Oryctolagus cuniculus: one gene and its partners. The protein of the gene in region 1 interacts with the protein of each later gene in a pairwise test. Links are inferred from orthologs where the notes say so. Each region holds a gene or a part of one and is shown on either strand. Other genes may lie near its edges. The genes, in order: NECAB2, ISCU and SSC5D.

Region 1 (6,736 bases):
GGCCACGCCGCGCTCAGCAGAGCTCGGGTCTGTGCCCCTGTCCCACAGCCCGGGGTGTGCGTGGGCCAGAGGCGGCCGACTCCTCCACTGCGGCCCCGTGGCCTCCACAGCAGGGGCTGGCCCTTCCGGAGGGGCCCGCGCTGCCCGGGGGCTGCACCCGTGGGCCCTGCCTCAGTTTCTCCTCTGTCCCCAGCCAGCGGCTCGGGCTGCAGCGCACGGAGGGCCGGTGAGGAGCTCCCTGCAGGACTGCCACTCTGCTCCCCGGGAGGTGCTGGGCGGGGGGCAGCCGTGCCTGCGCCTCCACAGGGGCTGCAGGACACAGGTCCCTGCTGCCCAGGCCCTCCTGCCTGCCGCCTGCCGCCTGCCCGGGGCCGCCTCCAGGGCCTGCCGTGCCTTCCTGCCCCAGCAGATGTGGGCCCACAGGTCACGGGGTCACCACGGGCGGTTGGGGCTAGCACCTGTCGGGGGACCCCCTCGCCCTCCAGGCCAGGCTGCACCTGGGCGGGAACCTTGCGCTTCCAACCGGACCCTCACAGGCAGGACCACGCCCGGGCTGCTGGGCTCCGTCGGCTCATCCCAGCCCCGGGCCTCGGACCCCGCTGACCTTCTTGGTGTAGCCCATGGCCTTCAGCACCGAGTGGTTCAAGGTCTCCAGCGAGGCCAGGACGTCCTCGTAGTCCCCCATGTGCTCCACGAAGTAATCTGGGGGCGGGAAGCCGAGGTCGGGGGTCATGGGGGGGTTCTGCCCCTCGCCCGCGGCCCCCCAGTCCCGCCTCTGCCCCTCACTGCCTGCACCCCGTCCCACCCCTGTAGGCACAGAGCCAGGCACCTACCACACAGCTCCTTGGTGTCCACGTGGCTGCAGAGAGAGGAGAGGGGTGTGAGTGTGGTGGCCCCACCCCTCCACAGCTGGTGGGGGGGGGGGACCCTGTGCAGCTTGCTAAAGGCTTCCTGCCGCCCTTTGTCTTCCCGTGCACCCCCAGTGCCCGCACCCCGAGGTGGCTCTGTCCAAGTAGGCGTGGCCAGTACCCACTGCCCCAATTTCCCTTCCAAAGGCTTCCGACCTCCTGGGGAACAGTGGGCTCCAAAGGCAGGGCTAGGGCGGGCCCTGGCTGTCCAGGCCGTCCACACAGCTCCTGGAGAACCCAGCTCAGCCCTGCTCCTCACCCCTAGCCCCTGGGCCCCCCTCCCGACAGCGTAGAGGAGGCTGGCGGCACAGGTGCACACAGCGGCATCAGAGGTGCACCGGGCCAGGAACTGGGGACAGAGTGGTGGTACAGGCTCCGGCAACCTCCCCACCATGTGCCCGAGAGCGCAGGGGCCGGCCCACCCGAGTGTGCTAAGCAGAACCCCGGGGCCAGGGCGCGGGGCTGGACGCGGGGCTGTGCGGGCCGCAGACTGGGAGCTCCGAGTTCTGCAGGAGGCGGCCGCGCAGTTCAGCACCCCAGGCAGCTGATGTCCTCGGCTCACACTTGGCCGGACGCCAGAGCCAACAACGCCAAGGTCTTGGCCTGGCCCTTGTGTGCGGTGAGGCCAGCTGTGGCCCTGGCCAGGCTCGCCGTTGCAGGCAGCACCTCCCGCTGCCCCCCATAAAAGCCAGCAAGTGAGGAGGAACCCATCAGGGGGCAGCGCCTGCACCTGCCAGCCCCCACACAGCCACAGGGACCCTCAGAGCCTCTTCTTTAGTGTCCATCCATAGGCGAGGATCCCACTCCACCTGCCCCTTCCCAGTCCGGCCCAGGCCAGCACTGCCTTCGGCCCCTTGCACGTGGCTTGGTGGCGGCTGCTCGTTCCCTCCTGTCTAGCAAGGGACCCCAGATGATCAGACCTGCCCCAGGCAGCCCCCAGGAACTCTGGTGCCCACCATCCGAGCGGGCCTGAGGAGGGGGACCAGGCAAGGACTCTGCCCCTCCACAGAGTGGGGTGGAGGGGGCATAGGCTGTCGGGGGTGGGGATGCACTTGAACTTGAGCCAGGCTGGGGCCCGTGGTGGGTGTGGAGATGCAGGTCAGGGCGAGATGGGCTGGGAGAGGCTAATGAGGCACAGGTGTGGGCGCTGTGGGGCGGGCTGAGCAAGTCCTAAGCGGAGCTTGGTTTAAAACGGGGGCAGCGTTAGGGAGGCTCCGTGTCGCAGGCAGTGGTGGCGGGGGTCTGCAGGGGCGCTAGCCGCGCAGCCACAGCCACACAGGTGTGCGCGGTGCTGATCCACCTGGGGCCCCGGCCTCGCTCACTTGGTGCTGTCGGAGTCGATGGTGTGAAACAGCGACTCCAGCTCCCGCTCGTCCAGCACGCCGTCGGCAAAGAAGAGCTGGAACTCCTCCAGGGACAGCTTCCCGTCATCTGCAGGGAGCGGGCGCGGCCGTGAGGGGCAGCGGGGGCGGTCCCCGGGACCCCGGGACCCCGGGACCCCAGGCCCAGCTAGCAGGCGGGCCCCTGCCGTCCCCCACCCCGCCAGCAATTAACGGTAAACCCCAGTTCACACGGTGTCTCCCACTCATCCAGCAGTGCCGACCCCCACGAAGGCCGACACAGGGCAGCATCGCCGGCTCATGGACCCTGTCCCGGTGTCGGCCCTACCCGGCGCTCAGCCGTCACTCAGTTCACCCCCAAGCACAAGCTGCTTGACCCAGCCCAAGGTCACGGCGCCACAGCAGGGGGGTCCGACCGGGGGTCCGATGAAGCCCCTCGCCCCACACGGCCGCGTGCCGAGATGCTCGTCCTGCCTGTCCATCAACCCCGGCTGGAGGCTGCGGTCCTGGGAATGGGGCAGGGGAGGCAGAGGGGACAGGGCCTGCCTCCTGTCCCTGTCCCCTCTCCTTGTGTCCCCTCCTCCTGTCCTGCCACTTGCTGGTGCTCCGGGCTGGTCTGACTGCTGGTCCCAGCAGGTCCAGCTCAGGCAGGTGGGGCCTCCCCCAGTTCCCCACAGCCAATGCCCTCCCCTGAAGGCGCTAAGGACGCCTCCCTGGGGACAGCCCTGTGTGTGAGGGACAGCGGAGCTCAGGGGGCCGTGCCATTGCCTGAGCACCCACACATGGCTGACCCATGCGGCCAGAGGGGAAGTCACTCTCAGACTTGCCAGTGCGGCTGCCCCTGCCCGAGGAGGAGAGGGAGGGAGCGCAGACCCGACCCGCCTTCGCCACACCTGTTTTCCCCAGCGCTGTGAGACAGGACACACATGGGCGGGAAGGGAGGCTGGGCACGGGTGCGCCTGGGCCCCCACAGCCCGGCTCAAGTTTCAGGGTCACGGGAGGACACAGGACTTATACCTTCCAAAAACAAGACCAAGAATCAAAATCGGGGCCAACACTGTGGCGTAGCAGGTAAAGCTGCCGCCTGCAGTGCCGGCATCCCATATGGGCGCGGGTTCGAGTCCCGGCTGCTCCACTTTCGACCCAGCTCTCTGCTATGGCCTGGGAAGGCAGTAGAAGATGGCCCAGGTCCTTGGGCCCCTGCACCCACGTGGGAGACCCGGAAGAAGCTCCTGGCTTCGGATCAGCACAGCTCTGGTGTTGCAGCCATTTGGAGAGTGAACCAGCAGATGCAAGACCTCTCTCTCTCTCTCTCTCTGCCTCTCCTCTGTGTAACTCTGACTTTCAAATAAATAAATCTTTTTTAAAAAAGAAACCAAAATAATCCCATGTACAAAAGTCCTCAAAACCACCGTGGGAAGTCCAACACCAGCCGTGCGACCTGTGACCTCCAGAGGGGGCTCCGTGCACTGCACAGAACGCGATACTGCCTGCCCCACCCCCACCTCGGCCCAGCATGGTGCGAACAGGCCTCCCCGAGGGCTCACTCCTCGGTCTCCCCAGTGCCAGGACGCAGGTGGTGTTACCACCCCATTTCACAGAGGGGCCGGGGGCTCGCTCCGGTCCCACGGCAGCAGCCTGAGCCCAGGCCGTCTGGCTCGGGCATCTAACCTCGCGACCCCACCCAGGAGCAGGCTTTTGGGGTGGGGCCGCCACCCGCCCCGCACAGCAGGAGTCCCAGCCAGCCCCAGGCTGCCTCCACCTCCTGCCTGCCCTAGCTCCTCTGGGCCCCTGCCCCCACGCTGCCAGGTCACGTGAGTGACATTTACCGGGAACGCGAAGCCCCATCAGCTAATGAAGCAAAAACCACCACCTGCCCAGGGCTCCGTCCAATTAGACAAGACAAGCAGCCAGCACCTGGCGTCAGCAGAGACCCGAGCAGGCCTCTCTCAGATGTCCCTGCTAATGAGCGCGAGCCCAGCCGCCACGCCCACAGCCTGTTAGGCTCAGGGGAGCTGCCGCCTGCCGCTCAGCCGCCCTTCTGGGTTGGCCCCTGGGCCTTCCCTGGGGACTGGCGTCCACCTCGGCCAGCCAAGGCCGTGTCACAAGAGCCCTCATGCCAGGCCAGCCCCCAGCCCCTGCTCCCCTCCAACTCGACCATGCCCCACCCCCGCTCCCCTGCGGCATCGCATCAGACCCCCTGCAGAGGCCGGCGCTGTGGCACTGGGGCACCGCTTGCGACGCCGCCGGCATCCCAGACAGGCACTGGTTCGAGTCCTGGCTGCTCTACTTCCGATCCCGCTCCCTGCTAATGCGCCTGGGAAAGCAGCAGAGGACGGCCCAAGTGCTGGGGCCCCTGCACCCACGGGGAGACCCCGAGGAAGCTCCTGGCTTTGGCCGGGCTCAGTCTGGAGACTGAACCAGCTGATGGGAGATCTCTCCCTCCATCTCCCTCTAATAAATAAATCATAAAAAAAAATTCAAAGAACCTCCCACGGTCCCTGGCCTGTGTCCAGCAGCCCTGGGACCCGTAGGAGCCTGGCCCTCCCCCTGCCCTGTGCCTGCCCCGCTCTGGCCTCCGCCCCCGCATGCACAGCTGCTCCCACTCCCACACCAGTGTTGAGCTCCAGCTGCTGGATCAGACCCCCCCCCCAAAGCCTCCCCTCTGCCGTCAGGAAGTGGGGGTGGGGGGAGACATCCGCGGAGAACCTGCTCAAGTCCTCCCGCCTGGTAAGCACCTGGCACAGCTGGGAGGGGGGGACTCCCTGAGTGCCCCCCCCCCAACAGCGCCAGGCCTCACACCTGCTGCTGCCCAGCTACCGCCCTCCTCCGAGCCCCCAGGGCCTGCCTGTGGTCTCGCAGCTGTGAGCGGCTGAGCCAGGCTCCGTGCACCGAGAGGAGGGGCCCAGGGTGCCCCCCACAGGCCCTGAGCAGAAAAAGCTCTCCCTCATTGTCACCTCCCAGCCACATCAACCCTGGGGACAACGCCCACCCTGCCCCACCTCCACCCAAGAGGAGGAGGAGGAGGTGGAGGGGCAGGCGAGGCCTCTGTGGGGCGCTGTGCTGGGGGCATGCAAATGCAGCTAGGAAGCAGCAGTTAGGACAGCCCCTGCCAGTGCATAAGGGGGCCAGGACTCCCATTTTGCAGACAGACAAACCAAGGCACACAGCACTGCCAGGATCAGGACTCCCGACTTCAGCGTCCTGTGCTCTTGACCTCTAGGTTCTAGGGTGCCCGAGTCTCCCACCCCCGGCAGCCCAGAAAGGCAACTCACCATTTTTGTCCGCGCGGCGGAAAACCTGCAGAGAAGAGAAGCCGCGTCAGCTCCGCCCAGGCCGGGAGGCGCCCTGCAGGGGCTCCTGACCAAGGCTCCGAGGTCCCTCTTCCCCCCAGAGCAGCTCCAGCCTCTCCGGGACCCAGGGGCAGGGAGGGAGGCTGCAGGCAGAGCCCCCACCCCGCCCGCCGCCCCACACCCTCCTGTGGCACCAGCCTGCCCACAGCCATGCTCAGAGCCGGCGTGCGCCTGCACGCTCACACCCACACGCATCCCCGCAGGTGGCCGGCCGCGGCCCTCCCAGCTCGCCCACTGCCCGGCGCTGGGCACGCAGCCACACGGTGCCTCGGAGAGCCCCTCGCTTTACCAACGCTCTCCTTTCAGAACGCCGCGGGGGTCTCCATGGAGGCTGGGAGCCTCGAAGGCGGTGAGGGAGGATCAGCCATGGGCTGGAGGGCGTTATTTTTGGGTGGGGGAGCTGACAGCAGCAGCCCACCCGGAGCACAGACAGGAGACCCCAGCCTGAACTTCGAGACCAGGCGACACCTGCAGGCGCAGGGCAGAGCCATGGATCACCCTACAAGGTGCAGCACGCGCAGGGCCAGAGCCCAGAAGGGGCTCTAACGCCAGGGTCCCTCCCCTTTGGGCACCAAACACCTGGGCGCCGAACGCTAACACCTGCGGCCACGAAGGCCTTGGTGCACCTGCCGCTCCTGGGCACTTGGGAGAAACCCCGAGGGCTGGGCCGCCGAGTCACAGCCCTCATGGTAACCAGGACCCTGGGGAGGCTTCCCAGTGCCCTGCCGCCTGAGAGGGGTCCCGGGGTTGAAAGCAGCCCCCACCTCAGTCCAGCCAAGACGAACTGAGGCCGGGGGAGGGGCACTGACACCCCCAAATTCCCTGCTGTGTTTGCAGGCAGCAGGGGGTCTGAGCAGGACTGGCGCAGCCGCCGTGTCCTCCTTGGCTAACCGGCACTGGGGGTAGGGGGCTGGGATGGCCCCCGGGACCCTGGCACTGTGGCCCAGGCAGCAGCGCCGGGTCTTCAGCCCACCCAGGCCCCCATGGGAGCCAGCCTGGGCCCACGACCCCCGCTCCTGAGTGCCCAAGCTGCCGTGAGGCTGCGGCCTGACCTGGGCATCCCGGAATCTGGCCGAGGTCCGCGTGTGGCCTGGGTGACCGCTGGCTCCAGCCCCTGCCGGGCACCTCTGCCCCG
Region 2 (6,836 bases), on another chromosome or scaffold:
AGTGAGCAGTGGACGGAAGATGTGTCTCTCCTTTTCTCTGTAACTCTGCCTTTCAAATCAATCTTGGGGGAAAAACCAAGATTCTGGAATCAAAGCCTGGGGCACAAACTCTGGCTCTGCCACCAACGAGCTGTGACGGGGTGACTTCAGGCGCGCGCAAGCTTCCTCGTCCATGACAGGGGAGTGATGGCTCCCGCTGTGGACCTGAGGGTGTCCTCAAGGTCTAGAAACGACATCCATGGAGGGCTCGGGACACTCCATGCCAGCACACAGCAGCTCCCAGCCGTGAGACCAGCGGGCGCAAAAGGACGCTCACTGCTCTCAGGCAGGCGGGCTGACGTCAGGGCCAAGCGCCCTGCTGGCCGACGCCGCAGGCAGAGACTTACTGGAGCAGTGCAGTTTCACCGGGGGGAGGCAGAGCTCCTTGGCGATGTCTGTGTTTTTGATGGTCAAGGCTTCCTCCACCTGACAGGCACAAGGGAGACGCACAGGTTTAGTGAGGCTGGGTGACGCGAGGGCCCACGAGTAAGAGGCGGGCCAGCGGCCTGAGCACAGGCCGGGCGGGGGACAGCACACACACAGATACACACACACACAGACACATAGACACACACACACATACACACAGACACAGACACAGACACACACAGACATGCACACACAGACACACACAGACAGAAACACACATACACACACAGACACACACAGACACAGACATATACACACACACACAGACATGCACACACAGACACAGACACACACACAGATACACACACATACACACAGACACACACAGACATGCACACACAGACACACAGACATGCACACACAGACACAGACACACACACAGATACACACACTGTTTAGTAACTCAGTTCTCAGGACTCCTGCACTGGGGCTCTCAAGGACAAAGTACACACATCCGCCCTGCCTGGCCAGGGTTGGCCAGGGCGGCCAAGTCCCGGGATTCTGCCAGGAGCAGAATCCGTGAGGAGCCTCTTAGGGGCCTGTGTGAGACAGCAACAGGGGTCGGCCTTTTCTTTTGGTTTTCTTTGCTGGTTTTGCAGGCCCAGGGCCGGGAGCTCTCTGCAGACAACCCCTCTGCCTGCAGGACTGCCCCCTGCTCCCCCTGGGGCAGCCCCGGGCACCAAGTGAGGTGGGCAGGAGCTTGCCTGGGGGAACACAGCCCCAGTGCCTTGGGAACCCTGGTGGTCGGGGGTGGGGGGTGGAATCTCAAGTTAAAGAAAGGCCTGTGCCCGCTTTCGCTCATAGCTCGGAGCCTGCTAATGGCCAGGACCCTGAGCCCAGGGGCCCTGTCTCAGTGCTGAACCTGAGAGTCCCTGCTGACAAATCACATGGGGGCCACGTGAGGCCAGAGCAGGTCAGGTGAGTGCTCCCTTCGCCAACGGAGTTTGCCAGCCGAGGCCGGGCCAGAGGCTGCAGGTGGCACGTGGCCTGGCCAGCACTGCACGACTGCTCCTAAGACTTGGCTCCCTGGCCCGTGTCCCTGCGGGCTGGCTTCCGAGAGGTTGTCAGGGTGACGGGGGCCCTCCCCCCGCTGCGGCCGCTGGGGAAGGGGGCTTTGCAGAGAGGAGGGAGGAGGTGCGCCAGCCCTCCTCACCTCTCCCGGAAGCCTGCGGCAGCCACCGCACCACTGCTCCCGGGGCTGACCCTGCCCTCACCCCCTGTGTTTCCGAGTCCTTACTCCTGCCGCTATGGGGCTTAGGCGGTGGCACCAGCAGGAGGCCCTTCCTCCTTGGGTCCCTGGGGCCGTGCCCTGGAGGTGGTGCTCACAAGGGTTGGCAGCAAAAGCCCAGCTGGCCCAGCCACGCCCTCTGCTTCCTGGCTCAGTGTGAGGCGGCCTCCGAGCACCACTGCCCTGCTCCTGCCGCACCACATGGCTGGCTCCGTGGGGCTGCCCAGCCCTGGACCTGGACCTGCAGACTGGAGGCAAAATCAACCTCTCTTCTCTTCCTAAGTAGCTAGTCCTGGATTTTTTTTTGCCGCAGTGATGTTGACAGCCGATACAGCCCCCAAACACCCAGGGAAAAGTGATCAACAACAAAACATCCACACACCGCCCGACACAGTGTGGAGCAGGCTGGGGTCAACCTTTAGGGAGGGGGGACTGAAATAACACTGTGCGGGTAGCATTTGCGAATGACCTCGTGACGTGTTGTTCCTCTCGGCCACACCTGCCCCTCCGAGAGGCAGGCTGCAGGCGGTGCTGCCAGAGGGCCAAGGAGCCCCAGCCTTACCGTCTTCCCTTTCACCCACTCGGTGGCTAAGGAGCTGGAGGCGATCGCAGAGCCGCAGCCGAAGGTCTTAAACCGGGCGTCCACAATCTTCCCCTTCTCATCCACCTGGATCTGGAGGAAAGAGAGAGGAGGTGACTCCCGGGTCTCCCCCAGAGCTCCGGGCTCGCCGTCCACGCTGCGAGTGAAGGTGCTGGGTACCGGCTGCTTCCGAGACCAGGGATGACGCAGGGGCTGCCGGGGCCAGCGCCCAGGCCTCGCTGCCGCCCCGGCCTGCTCGGGGCTGGGAGGAAGTCGGCCCACCGCTGCTGGGCAGCTGCTGCTCCAGACAGCAGAGGGTTTCCAGTGCGAGTCTCCTGCGGGCACCCACTGCACTGAGGGGCCCCCTCCTGCCCTGTCTCTGTGTTCCTAGGCATGTGAGGTCTCTGGTGGGCTTCCCAGCCCATGAGGAGGGAGGTCCAGGGTACAGCTGCTGTAACCCAAGTGCCAGCGGCTGCCTGCAGGACGCTTCCGATTTGGGCACACGGTTTCCCTTGGATCAGCAAAATTCACAGACCCTTCCAGCTGGCTAACTTGGAGTCTAGGCTGACGCAGCGAGGTGGAACGTGAAGTCAGCTCCCTCCTCCAGAAAAGATCTGCACTGCAGGACAGCAGTAGGAAGGAGTCCCTGCTCAATCCGTTACGACAGGCCTCCTCCCAGAACCAAACGGAACGCGGCGAGAGCGGGGAGCTGCCCGGCCCGTCCGGACCCGTACCTGCAACTTCATGACATCCCCACAAGCGGGGGCCCCCACGAGGCCAGTGCCGACATTTTTGGACGTCTTGTCAAGGGACCCCACGTTTCTGGGGTTTTCATAGTGATCCACAACCTGAAATGAGAAAGTCGGGAAATCGCCACGTTCTCCCCATGACGTCAGCACCCCGCCCCGGGCAGGCGCCCACTGAACACGTCTCCCGTGGGGGAGAGAGAGAGCCTACATTCGCATCAACGAGGGCCCTCTGTGTCACAGGCTCCTCTTCCCCCCAATAAAATCCACTCTCCAAGGAGACGGATCACCATTCAAAACTGTAAAAAACACCACTCATAGCCCAGGGCCACAAGGCTTTCTCGGAAGCCTCCGGGGGGGGGGGGGGGCCGCTGCAGAACGCACAATGCTATCTACCAGAGGTGCTAAAATAATAATAAACAAAACAGCGCCGGGCAATGCCATCACCCGGAGCAGCCGCGCCCCCTAGCGCGAGCCCGCGTCCCTTCTGCACAAAATGTCAACAAAATGCCACCGGAGCCCCGAGCCCACGAAGCAGCCAGCCCCCGCCCCACATCCCACCCGAGGCCTCCCGAGAGAACCACGTCTACTCCAGACTCCGTTCTGAGTTACTGCGTGGTTTTTAGCTGCTTCCCTACAGAGGCAGGCGCACACGTCGGGGTCTTTACGCCCCCGGGGACGCGGCCAGCGGCTGTCAGCCACGGCTCGCTCTCCCTCCCTCGCCAAGAGGCAAAAGCGAACCCCGAGCAGGTGCAGCGACCCCGCCACCGCGACAGCGCGTGCCTAGGACCCCACGCTCACTCTCTCCTGCTGGGGAGCCGCGGGAACAGGGTCGGAGTGCGGCGGCGACTGGCCCAAGGTCACCTGGCCCGGGCAGTGGCCCGAGCCCGCGCCGGGCTGTGTGTGTCCTCGACTCCGAAGGCCAAGCGCACAGGATCCCCGCCCAGGGCCGTGGGCAACGGAGGGGAAGCAACCGGGAGCCGCCTGCTGAGCTGCGTTTATCCATCAGCCGTTCCCGTCACCGCGCAGCGAGGGGAAGTGGGCGGAGGAGCGGGCGCCGATGGCCCCTGCTGCCTCGGCCACTTCCACCTGCCGTGGACGGAAGTGTCGGCTGGGATCCGGGGACGCCTGGGTGCCCTCGGCCGCTCGCGCACCCCTAGGCTCGCCCCTACCTTCTTGTGATAGAGCCGGGCCGGAGCGGACAGCTCCCGGGCGGGCAGGCGCGGGCTCCGCAGCAGCAGGGCCGACGCCGCTCTCCGCAGACGGCCAGCTCCAGCCGCCGCCATCTCTCCGGCGAGCCCCTGAGCCGCCCCAGAGCGACGCCGAGGGGCGGGGCGCGCGCGCGCGTGCGAGTCGGGCTGACGTCAGCGCGCCTGCGCCCGCCCACTCCGTGCGCGCGTCCGCGCTGTGGCCTCGCCTTGGCCACGCCCCTCGGGGGCGGGGCGTGGGAAGCGCGGGAGGGCTTGCTGCGGGGCGTTGGGGTCTGGGTTGGGGTCTGGGGATTCCGCGGCGGCCGGGCTGAGAGGGTGCAAGGCCGCATTCTAGAGGCGGACCCGGTACAACTTTGCAGTGCGCCATTGAGGCTCAGAGTGCTCGCGCGGAGACCTAGGCTCAGTGGGGACAATTGGTGACCCCAGCTCCGGGATCCGCCCCTCCCCGGCTGTGCGCCCTGGGCGGCTGGTGCCAGTTCACCAAGCGTAATCCGTGGTAATTCTAGGACAATTGTTTTAGCCACGCGGCAAATACATATTAAGTGCCGGCGCTAGACAGAGTGGAGGATTTGCACGGAAAGCAAACCCCACCGTTCTGGTCCCTTTACGCTTGGTAATGAGGGAGAAAGGCAGTGAATGAACACACACGCACACACACCAATATTTCCCTACCTCAAAAATGGGACGCTTCTTAAGGAGGAATCAAACACCAATCCCTTATTTTCCAAACAATGTCTAGATTGTATCTCTGTTGAGATCTCCTTACAGAACAGCAAACTCCTAATTTATAGGACAAGGCATGGCAATGAGGAGCCACTAAAGACATGTTTATTCATGGACTCTATTGATGCTGGCTTGCATAAGGCGATGTGATAAAATTGGAAAATTCAAACACTTAACGTCTACCAGGTACGAGGCATTGCATAGAAAGGGAGGCTCTCTTAGGGAAGTGAGTTTGTCCCGTGAATGGTGCAGTCGATCCTTCCCGGAGGATTTGTTTTCTTAGCGTTTGAGCCTCAGTTGCTGGGAGACCGAGCTCCGCTCCGAGTCCGGCTAGGCTTTAAGAAAACATTTATTTACAGGAATCCTTTGACCTTCTCAAGATGGCGCCAAGCCCGTCACTGCAGACACCACGCTCACTCCACGACTTCCTCTATGGCCGCCACTTCCTGTCCAAAGACCCAACTTCTGTCCGGAGTTGTGCCGGAAGACCTGTCATATTAAGGAGCCTTTTCTTCGCCGGAGGTTTCTGAAAGTATATTAAAATAATACGAACTGCGTACTTTTGTCTGTTTTCTTGTCCTCTGAGGCTCCCAGTTTCCCTTTCGGTGGCAAGAAAGCGGGGGTTTTGGTCAGGCGCGCGCCGCGGGCAGCCTCGCCCTCAGCCGGGTCTTCGGCGGCCGAGGGAAGACCCGGGAGTCCCTGAAGCGCAAGATGGCGACGGCGGCTGCATCTTCGGCTTCGGAACCCGAGGCCGAGCCCCAGGCCGGGCCCCAGGCCGAGGGAGAGGAGGATGAGGTCAAGGCGGCCAGGACGAGGAGGAAGGTGTTGTCGCGGGCTGTGGCCGCTGCGACGTCCAAGACCATGGGGCCAGGGTGGGACCAGCCGCAAGAGGAAGGCATGAGCGAGAGCGATGGGGATGAGGAGTACGCCATGGCCTCCTCGGCGGAGAGCTCCCCCGGGGAGTACGAATGGGAGTACGACGAAGAGGACGAGAAGAACCAGCTGGAGATCGAGCGGCTGGAGGAGCAGGTGGGCCCTCGCTCCGGGGCCCCGGCCCGCCCCGCGGTCGCGAAAGCCGGCAGGCCGCCGGGCATCCCCGCAGCTGCGGTCCTGGATCGCCGCCTGCGGCCCTGGTGCTTCGCAGGCGTTGCCCGGTGGAGGCTCGGTGACGGGAGCGGTGCTAGCGCCGCTTCACGCCGGAGGCCGAGGACGGGTCGGGCCGCCGGTACTTTGAGCCGCTCGGAACCGCCCGGGTAAAGTTGGGTCTTGTTAGGATGGAGTCCTTTTCCTGTGGGCATGGTAACGGGGGTCCAGCGCAGCGGGGGAGGGAAGATAGCGGTTGAGACGGTGGTCGCGGGCGCGGAAAGGGGGACAGAGGTTTGCCCCGCTTTTGGTAGCTTGGGCGGAGTGCTTAACGCCCCTGGCCCGGGCTGCCCCGTCTGCCGGTTGGGAAACGTTGTGTCCAGCCCCGAGGGGGTGTAGGGAGTGACCGGTCCCGTCGATGGTTGTGTGCAAAGAGCTCCCGAGATGTGCTGAGAGCTTCGGTCGTTGGTGCACGCTCAGTGTCACAGCAGAGGTTGGGATGGGGGAAGCGGTACGCTAACCTTTCCCCTCCCTCCGAGCTTCTGCTGGGGCGTCCTGCTGGGCAAACCCCCACTGGGCGCCCGGTGCTGGGGGGCCCGGGGCAGGGTGGGGAGCGTGGGGCGCCAGCGAGGCGGGAAGAAGCCGAGGCTTTGCTCCAAGTCGCTCAGAGTGGGGTTTGGACCCTGGCCGGCTCGGGGGTGTGAGGCTGCTCACCCAGGTTCTCACTCAGCCCCGCCCGGGGTCGCTTGGTTGGGATGCCTCCCTAGCACTGATGTTTTTTTTAAGCCCTGGATAGC
Region 3 (6,836 bases), about 62 Mb from region 1:
GGGGCCAGAGCACTCCATCCTGGGGGCTTCCCAGGCCCCGAAGTCTGCTGGGCAGCAGCCCCGGGCCCTGCCCACGAGGCACCAGTAGCTCCTCCCTGGTGACCCTCCCAGATGTCACCAGACGGTGCCAGTGCCGGTGTGGCTGAGACCCGCCGACGTGGGGCCATCGTGTGGGGGCTCAGGGTGGAAGCTTGGAGAGGGCACGGGCGCAGAAGGACAAGAACCCCCCACCCCACTGCCACGCCCCCTCACCATCACACACAGCCCCCGCATCCTCACGATGGTGACAGTCATGCTGGCCCCAGGGCCGCGCCGGGCAGAATCGCAACGCCGTCTCGTTTCCCCGACACCGAAGGTCGTCCAGGATGATGGGGCCAGCGCCCTCCCCGAAGAAGGCGCCCCCGGGGGCGGCCAGCGCCCCCCCGCAGCCCAGCTCCCGGCAGGCCACGGCGGCGTCACGCAGGTCCCAGGCGTCGTCACACACGGTGCCCCAGCGCCCACCGTGCAACACTTCTAGGCGGCCGGCGCAGCCGTGGGGGCCGTCGGCCAGGCGCAGCCTGGGGGCCGGGCCTGGATGGGGGCACAGAGAGACAGGTGAGCTGCGTGCAGGAATCCACAGCCGGGGGCTGGGACCCGGGCAGGGGCACAGCCCCCTGCCCCCATCCCAGAGGCCACAGGGAAACAGGTCCTCCACCTGCAGGCTGCAGAGGAGCGGGAGCTGGGAGGTGGGAAGTCACTGGGTGGCCCCGCGTGCCTGTGGGGGACGGCCCTGCGCAGAAGTCCCCAAGCTGTGACAACCACAGGTGGGAGGGGGAGACCCCCTCGGAGCGCCCCCGTGGGCAAGACTCTAACCCCAGGGCGCATTCTTGCTCTTCTGGGAAAACCTCCCCTCTACTCTGAACCTCGGCTTACCCCGAGCGAGCTCCCCTCGGAAGGCCTAGCTTCCGCCCGGCCGGCCTTCCACACCACCCACCCACCCACCTGGCCCTCGCAGCAAGCGTCTCTGCAGCCTGCTCCCCCTCCAACCACTGGGTGCACAGCCCATCCCCCCCACCCCCGTGTGCCACTCTGCTCGGCTCTGGGTGTGGGGCTCACAGCGCCCCCTGTAGGAGCCTCGGTTTCCCCATCTGGGAAGGGAGAGGGGCCCGAGTCCATGTCGTGGGGCCCCCAGGAGGCTCGGGAGGACGGGGACACGGTGCCTGCCCGCCGTCCGCTTGGCACAAGGCAAGCTGGGGCCATGTAGACCTGCAGCAACTGGGGCAGTCGGCCAGCCTCGCGGCTCCTGCAGCCTAAGGAGCCCAGGAGCAGGAGGCCTGCCTGGGCTTCCGGTGCAGGACGTATGTGGAAGGAAGGAGGAATGGGAAGGGAAGGGGGGAGGGCAGGCAGGTGCACCCCGGGGCTCTCCTGGGAGGCCCCATCCCAGGTCCCAGAGGAACAGGGAGGGCAGGAGCCCCCGGCAGGAAGCAGAGCCCTGCTCCGGCATCACGGCCCCCAGGTCACTCCTCCCCCTCCGCCTCAGCTCCCTGCCTCCTCGCCCTGGGGGAACCCCTGAGGAGGGCACTCCTAGCCTTACGGCTCCATCCGGAACGCTGGCAGAGCCCTGGCCCTGGCAGAGCCCTGGCCCTGCAGCGGAGCCCCGGCTCCGGCCCCAGCACCTTTCCCCGGGGGCCCTGACTGCAGGTGGGGGAGGGGCAGCCTCACCTACCCGTGCACACCAGCCCGGCGTCCTCACTGTGGCCGGCCCCAGCACCTTTCCCCGGGGGCCCTGACTGCAGGTGGGGGAGGGGCCAGCCTCACCTACCCGTGCACACCAGCCCGGCGTCCTCACTGTGGTCACAGTTGCTCCGGCCCCAGGGGCTCCGGGGACAGTCCCGTAGGGTCTGCTCTCCTCCTCCACACCCCACGTCGTCCATCCACACGGGCCCCGCGCCCGGCCCGAACCTGGCGCCCCCGGGGGCGGCCAGCGCGGCCCCGCAGCCCAGCTCCCGGCAGGCCACGGCGGCGTCGCGCAGGTCCCACCCGTCGTCACACACGGTGCCCCAGCGCCCGCCATGCAACACCTCCAGGCGGCCGGCGCAGCTGTGGGGGCCTGAGACCAGGCGCAGCCGCTCTGGAGGGGGGCACGGGTGGGAGGGAGGGGCCGTGAGGGGTCTGACCACAGCTCAGGAGAAGCAGTCAGCCCCCTCCTGGGAAACCGAGGCCCGGAGCGGGCACTGGTCTGAGGTCCGCCTTCCCCCCGGCCCCTTCGGGGGAAATAGCCACCATCTTTGAGGCAGGATCCCTGATGGGGCAGGCGTCAGGGACGGCAAGAAGAGGGGAGACCAGGCTGGCCCCTGAGTCCCAGGGAGGGGCGGCTCCGAGGCGGGGCCCCGCGCGGTGGGCCTGGGCTCTCACAGTGTGCAGGTCATGTCTGCAGGGCACCCACCTTGTCGGGGGGCCCCAGCCGTCAGCAAAGGGGCCCTGGTGGACTTGACCTGCTTGGGTGGCCGGGGGCTCTTCTTCCGGGGGCTTCCGGCCAGGCGGGGGGCTGGGAGGGGAGACAGCAGGAGGTCAGGGGCAGGGCTGCCGCCCGTCCCCCCACACAGGACCAGGAGCCCCCTCTCAAGGGCCACAGTGCCAGAGGACGCCCTGGGCCAGGAGAGCCAGCCTGGGGACCTGTGCGTCCCCTCCCCCACAGCTGAAGCAGGAGGTGGAGCCGGGGTGGGGGTCCTCCGGGCGCACCATGAGTCACAGGGGGCTCCTCGGAGCTGGGGCTCAGCTCCCCAGGCAGCCCCAGCCAGGGGTCCCCGTCCGGGGCGGGAGGTGATTCGTCCCTTGAATCGGCCACGCGCTGACCTGCAGGAGAGAGGTTGAGAGGAGGGTGGCCGGGGCGGAGGGCTCATGGGGGTCCCCAGGGAGATGGGCAGGGGCTGAAATACGGGGTGGGGGGTCTGGGGCTCAGGAGCGGTTTAAGTTGGGGGTCCCAGATGGAGGGCGAGACCTGGCTCTGGAGGGGACCGGGGGCTGGGAGCCTCCGGCGGTTGCTCGCTCACCTGCACAGACGAGGCCCGCGTCCTCCTCGTGGCTGCAGATGTGGGCCTTCCAGCCGCGGTGGGGGCAGAGGCCCAGGTGCCCCTCGCCGCCGCGGCAGGCCAGCTCGCTGAGCCACACGGGGCCTGCGCCCTCCCCGAAGAAGGCGCCCCCGGGGGCAGCCAGCGCCCCCCCGCAGCCCAGCTCCCGGCAGGCCACGGCGGCGTCGCGCAGGTCCCACCCGTCGTCACACACCGTGCCCCAGCGCCCGCTGTGCCGGACCTCCAGGCGGCCGGCGCAGCCGTGGGGGCCGTCGGCCAGGCGCAGCCGCTCTGGTTGGGGGGCAGAGGAGAGGCTGTGACCATCCCTGAGGTCTGGGGTCAGAGTGATGGTAGGGGGTGCAGGCTGTCCTGTGGGGTGCAGTCGGGGGGCCGGGGCCAGACTTTGGGGTGCCCAGTGGTGCTGGTCATGGTGGAACGGGGGTACCCCCAGCAGGAGCGGGAGGCCAGGCCTGGACCCGGGGAGGCGTGGAGCTGCGGGGAGAGTGTCTGGGACTTACCAATGGCCCGAACCCCAAGCAGCACCACTGCAAGAGGTTGGGGGACAGCGTGAGAGGCAGGCCCCGGGGGTCCCGCCTCATCCCGAATACCCCGAAACACACACACACGCACACTCACTCTCGGAGCAGCCACGCCTCTGACCCAGAAACCCACGCTGGGAGCTGGGAGCCAGAGCCCGGGCAGAGGGCCACCAAGCCTGAGACGGGTGGGGCTCGGACGCCTGGCCTGGGGCCAGGGCTGGGCACCTGGGGCTCTGCTTGGCCAAAGGTCAGATGGCCCGTGACCTCCACAGGACCAGGGCTTGGGCCAGGCCCCTTCTGTTCTCAGGAGGCTGAGTCCCCGAGGGGCCGGGCAGGGCAGCCAGTGGCCAGGCTATCTGGAGGCACCAAGGACTGGGTTCCCGGAAGCCCCAGTCCCTAAACTGGACGTGCTAAGGGGTCAGAGGTGGGGGCCCGGATCCCCTGAGTCCCCAGGGGAAGGGTCACTCACCGAGGAGGCAGGCCAGGACCCTCATGTTTGCAGAGTCCGGGGGAGGGGATGGGGCGACAGGGGAAGGAGGGCAGGAGAGGGGAGCAGGCGGCAGCCAAGCGAGGGCGGAGGCGAGGGAGGGAGCGCCGGCCGGAGGCGCCCGGACCCGCGGAGGAGCAGGCAGGGGCCCAAGGCTCCACCAGGAGGAAGAGAGGCTGCAGGGAGGCGGCAGGGGACCGGAGGGCGGGAGGGGGCTGGCGAGCGGCTCCGGCATGGGGAGGAGGGGGGTGGCGGGCGGGGGGAGGGTGAACGGCTAACACCCACACGCAGACGGCCAGGCAGGCCCAAGCCGAGGGACGGCAGGCTGCCGGGCAGGGGCAAGGCGGGTGCACGCGTGGGGCGCGGGCGGGGCACCCACTCTCCTGCCTCCTCCCTTGACCTTCTGGGGAGTGGGCTCTGACCCCTGCTGGGGTCAGGGGCCAGGCAGATCTGGGACTCCGGGAGCGGTAGCAAGAGGGCCTGTAGCCAGACACCAGGAGGGACTTCCTGGATTAGAGGGAGCAGAATGGAAAACTGCTCCGTCCATTCCCTCCCTCATTCCTCATCGGCGGGATTGAACGTGAACCCCCTCAGACGGCCATCTGAGGCCGGAGGCGTTGAACCGGAGTGGGGAGGGGGCGGGAAGGGGGCTCCGCAGACTCCTCGCACTCACACTCACACTCACACACACACACACACGTCCCCTGCACCAGGCAGCTGTGAGCTGGAAAAAATGCAGTCATGGGGAGCGTGACTCAGAGACTGGCAGGGACCGGGGCTGCTGTGAGCTCACCGCCTCCCCGCTCCCCCCAGACACCCACAATTAATGTCAACTCGGGGGAAGGAGGAGCCAGACAGAAGCTGGGGGGGGGGGGCGGAGGCGGGGGTCCAGAGACAGACTGGAAAAGGCATCAGAGAGAGGAGGCCACTTCGGGCTTTATTAACAAACAGTGTAGGAAACCAGATGGCTGGGTCCGGAGGAAGAGCCGCGGCCCCTCGCAGCTCCCCAGCCGCGGCCGGGTGCCCGCTGCCCACAGCACCTCGTGTCCCCCACCCCTCTCCCCGGGAGGCCCTGTCCCCTCTGGCCGTGTCCTGTGCAGCTCCCAACTCCGCTAGGTGTCCCTTCCTGGAGGGCGGGGCAGGCTGGGGACACAGGTGCCCCTGGGCTGGGGGCGGGGGTGGGTCCGTGACCTCTGGTGGCCCAGGAGCCACGAGGGAAGAGGGATTCCTGAGAAGTGCAGACCCCCCCAGACACCACGCGGACAGACCGGCGGCCGAGCCCCAGGTGTGCTGGGGAGTCACGCACGGGGCACCGGGCATGCAGCGGGCGCCACCTTCCAGCCCCGCCCCATCCTCCCGGTGGCCACGGGGACACTCAGGGGTGGGGGTCACAGGTCCTTGCAGAAGTCCCTCACGAGCGCGTAGCCCATGCAGCCCCAGCCACCCTCTGCCTGGTAGCCGCAGCCCTCTAGCATGCTGGCCACGCCCCAGGCGGCCACGGCCACGGGGACGACCAGCCGGGCGCGCGTCTCCCCCATACCCCCAGCCCAGGCCCGAGCCCGGGACTCGGCGAATGCCAGCAGCCTTCTGCCCACGCCTTGGCGCCGGTGCCAGCGGGAGACAGAAAGGCGGGTGACGCGGGCTCCGTCCCCTGCACTGGTGCCGGGGGCCAGGGCCAGGACCCCGCACACGTCGCCGGAGCCGCGCACGGCCACCCAGGGCCCCCCCAGGCCGCCCGGGGGAGGCAGCGAGCCCCAGCGGGCTCGCAGGCCCAGCTTCAGGGCAGCCACGGCCAGGAACACCGGCAGCAGGAGGGCCAGGGCGAAGGAGGCCAGGACCAAGCGCAGGCCGCTGCTGGCCGCGGCCAGGAGGAGCAGGGCCGGGGGCCGCGTCAGCACGTGGAGGGCCACCCGGTTCTCCGTGTCCTTGACGCCGGCCTGTGGAGAGGGGTCCTCGGCTGTCCATCACACTGTGTGTGGCGGGGGAGGGGCCCCAGGTGGGAGCGGAAGGCGGTGTGGGGGCTGCATGGGTGAGAAGCTGGGGGCGGGGGCATCCAGGTCCGTGGCCCTGCCCGTCAGAGCCTGCGCCCTCCAGCAGCCAGCTGCTGCCAGCCCCTGGCAAAGGGTAGAGGGCAGCCGGGAGCCAGGGGGACCCAGGGAAGAGGCAGCCTCGGAGGACACTCGCTCGGGGCGGCTGAGCCCACTCCCAGCGAACCCCGGCCCCCGCCCCCGGGCTCACCTTTAACATCTCCAGCACCAGGGGCCTCTCATCCTCCCTCATCTCCCGCACGGACAGGTGGCTGGGGGCCATGGCGGCCCCCAGGCGCCCGCCCCCGGGCGGGGAGCTGGCGTCGTGCACCTGCCGAGGACACAAGCAGATCAGCGTCAGGTGGCCGCCCGCCGGGGTGCGGGGGACAGCAGCGCTTCCCGGGGCACTCAGGCCCGCGGCGCCCCCGAATGTTCCCCGGGACTCCCGCGCCCCGTGCTGCTCGGCCGTGGGCCCCAGCACTGCGCAGCGCCTGACCCTTCCCCGACGCAGGGGCCGCCGTGAGGGCCCCCACCCCCGCCCCTGCAGGCGTCTCCCGCCCCCTCGCGTCGCAGGAGGACCCGCGAGCACCTTACACGAGGTGTGGGGGAGCGGGGTCGGGCAGGGGTCGCCGGCGGAAGTGGCGTCAGAGCCGAACGGGGCGGGCGGGGGCGCGGGCTCCCGGCCTCGGCCACCGCAGCCAGGCCTCCCGATGGGGCCCGAGGCTGCGAGCCG

What was found.
Region 2: the proteins of NECAB2 (region 1) and ISCU interact in binary tests that used the Homo sapiens proteins (3 or more experiments, as listed by UniProt). The two-hybrid records come from large-scale screens. The link is inferred for Oryctolagus cuniculus from reciprocal best matches to the Homo sapiens genes NECAB2 and ISCU.
Region 3: the proteins of NECAB2 (region 1) and SSC5D interact in binary tests that used the Homo sapiens proteins (3 or more experiments, as listed by UniProt). The two-hybrid records come from large-scale screens. The link is inferred for Oryctolagus cuniculus from reciprocal best matches to the Homo sapiens genes NECAB2 and SSC5D.

What each region holds. Positions count from the first base shown.
Region 1 is NC_091449.1:65,753,884-65,760,619, reverse strand, and holds part of NECAB2 (N-terminal EF-hand calcium-binding protein 2), read right to left. Parts: intron 5,549-6,736; coding exon 5,524-5,548; intron 2,340-5,523; coding exon 2,231-2,339; intron 860-2,230; coding exon 834-859; intron 703-833; coding exon 605-702; intron 1-604. UniProt on the Homo sapiens protein: May act as a signaling scaffold protein that senses intracellular calcium.
Region 2 is NC_091452.1:17,763,238-17,770,073, reverse strand, and holds the start of ISCU (iron-sulfur cluster assembly enzyme ISCU), read right to left. Parts: upstream 4,399-6,836; 5' UTR 4,309-4,398; coding exon 4,195-4,308; intron 3,125-4,194; coding exon 3,011-3,124; intron 2,370-3,010; coding exon 2,259-2,369; intron 466-2,258; coding exon 387-465; intron 1-386. Other genes in the region: SART3 (squamous cell carcinoma antigen recognized by T-cells 3), read left to right, coding at 5,668-5,985.
Region 3 is NC_091449.1:3,473,227-3,480,062, forward strand, and holds the start of SSC5D (soluble scavenger receptor cysteine-rich domain-containing protein SSC5D), read right to left. Parts: upstream 4,840-6,836; 5' UTR 4,312-4,839; coding exon 4,059-4,311; intron 3,596-4,058; coding exon 3,569-3,595; intron 3,342-3,568; coding exon 3,033-3,341; intron 2,836-3,032; coding exon 2,722-2,835; intron 2,528-2,721; coding exon 2,426-2,527; intron 2,111-2,425; coding exon 1,802-2,110; intron 571-1,801; coding exon 253-570; intron 1-252. Other genes in the region: NAT14 (probable N-acetyltransferase 14), read right to left, coding at 5,465-6,013, 6,315-6,386.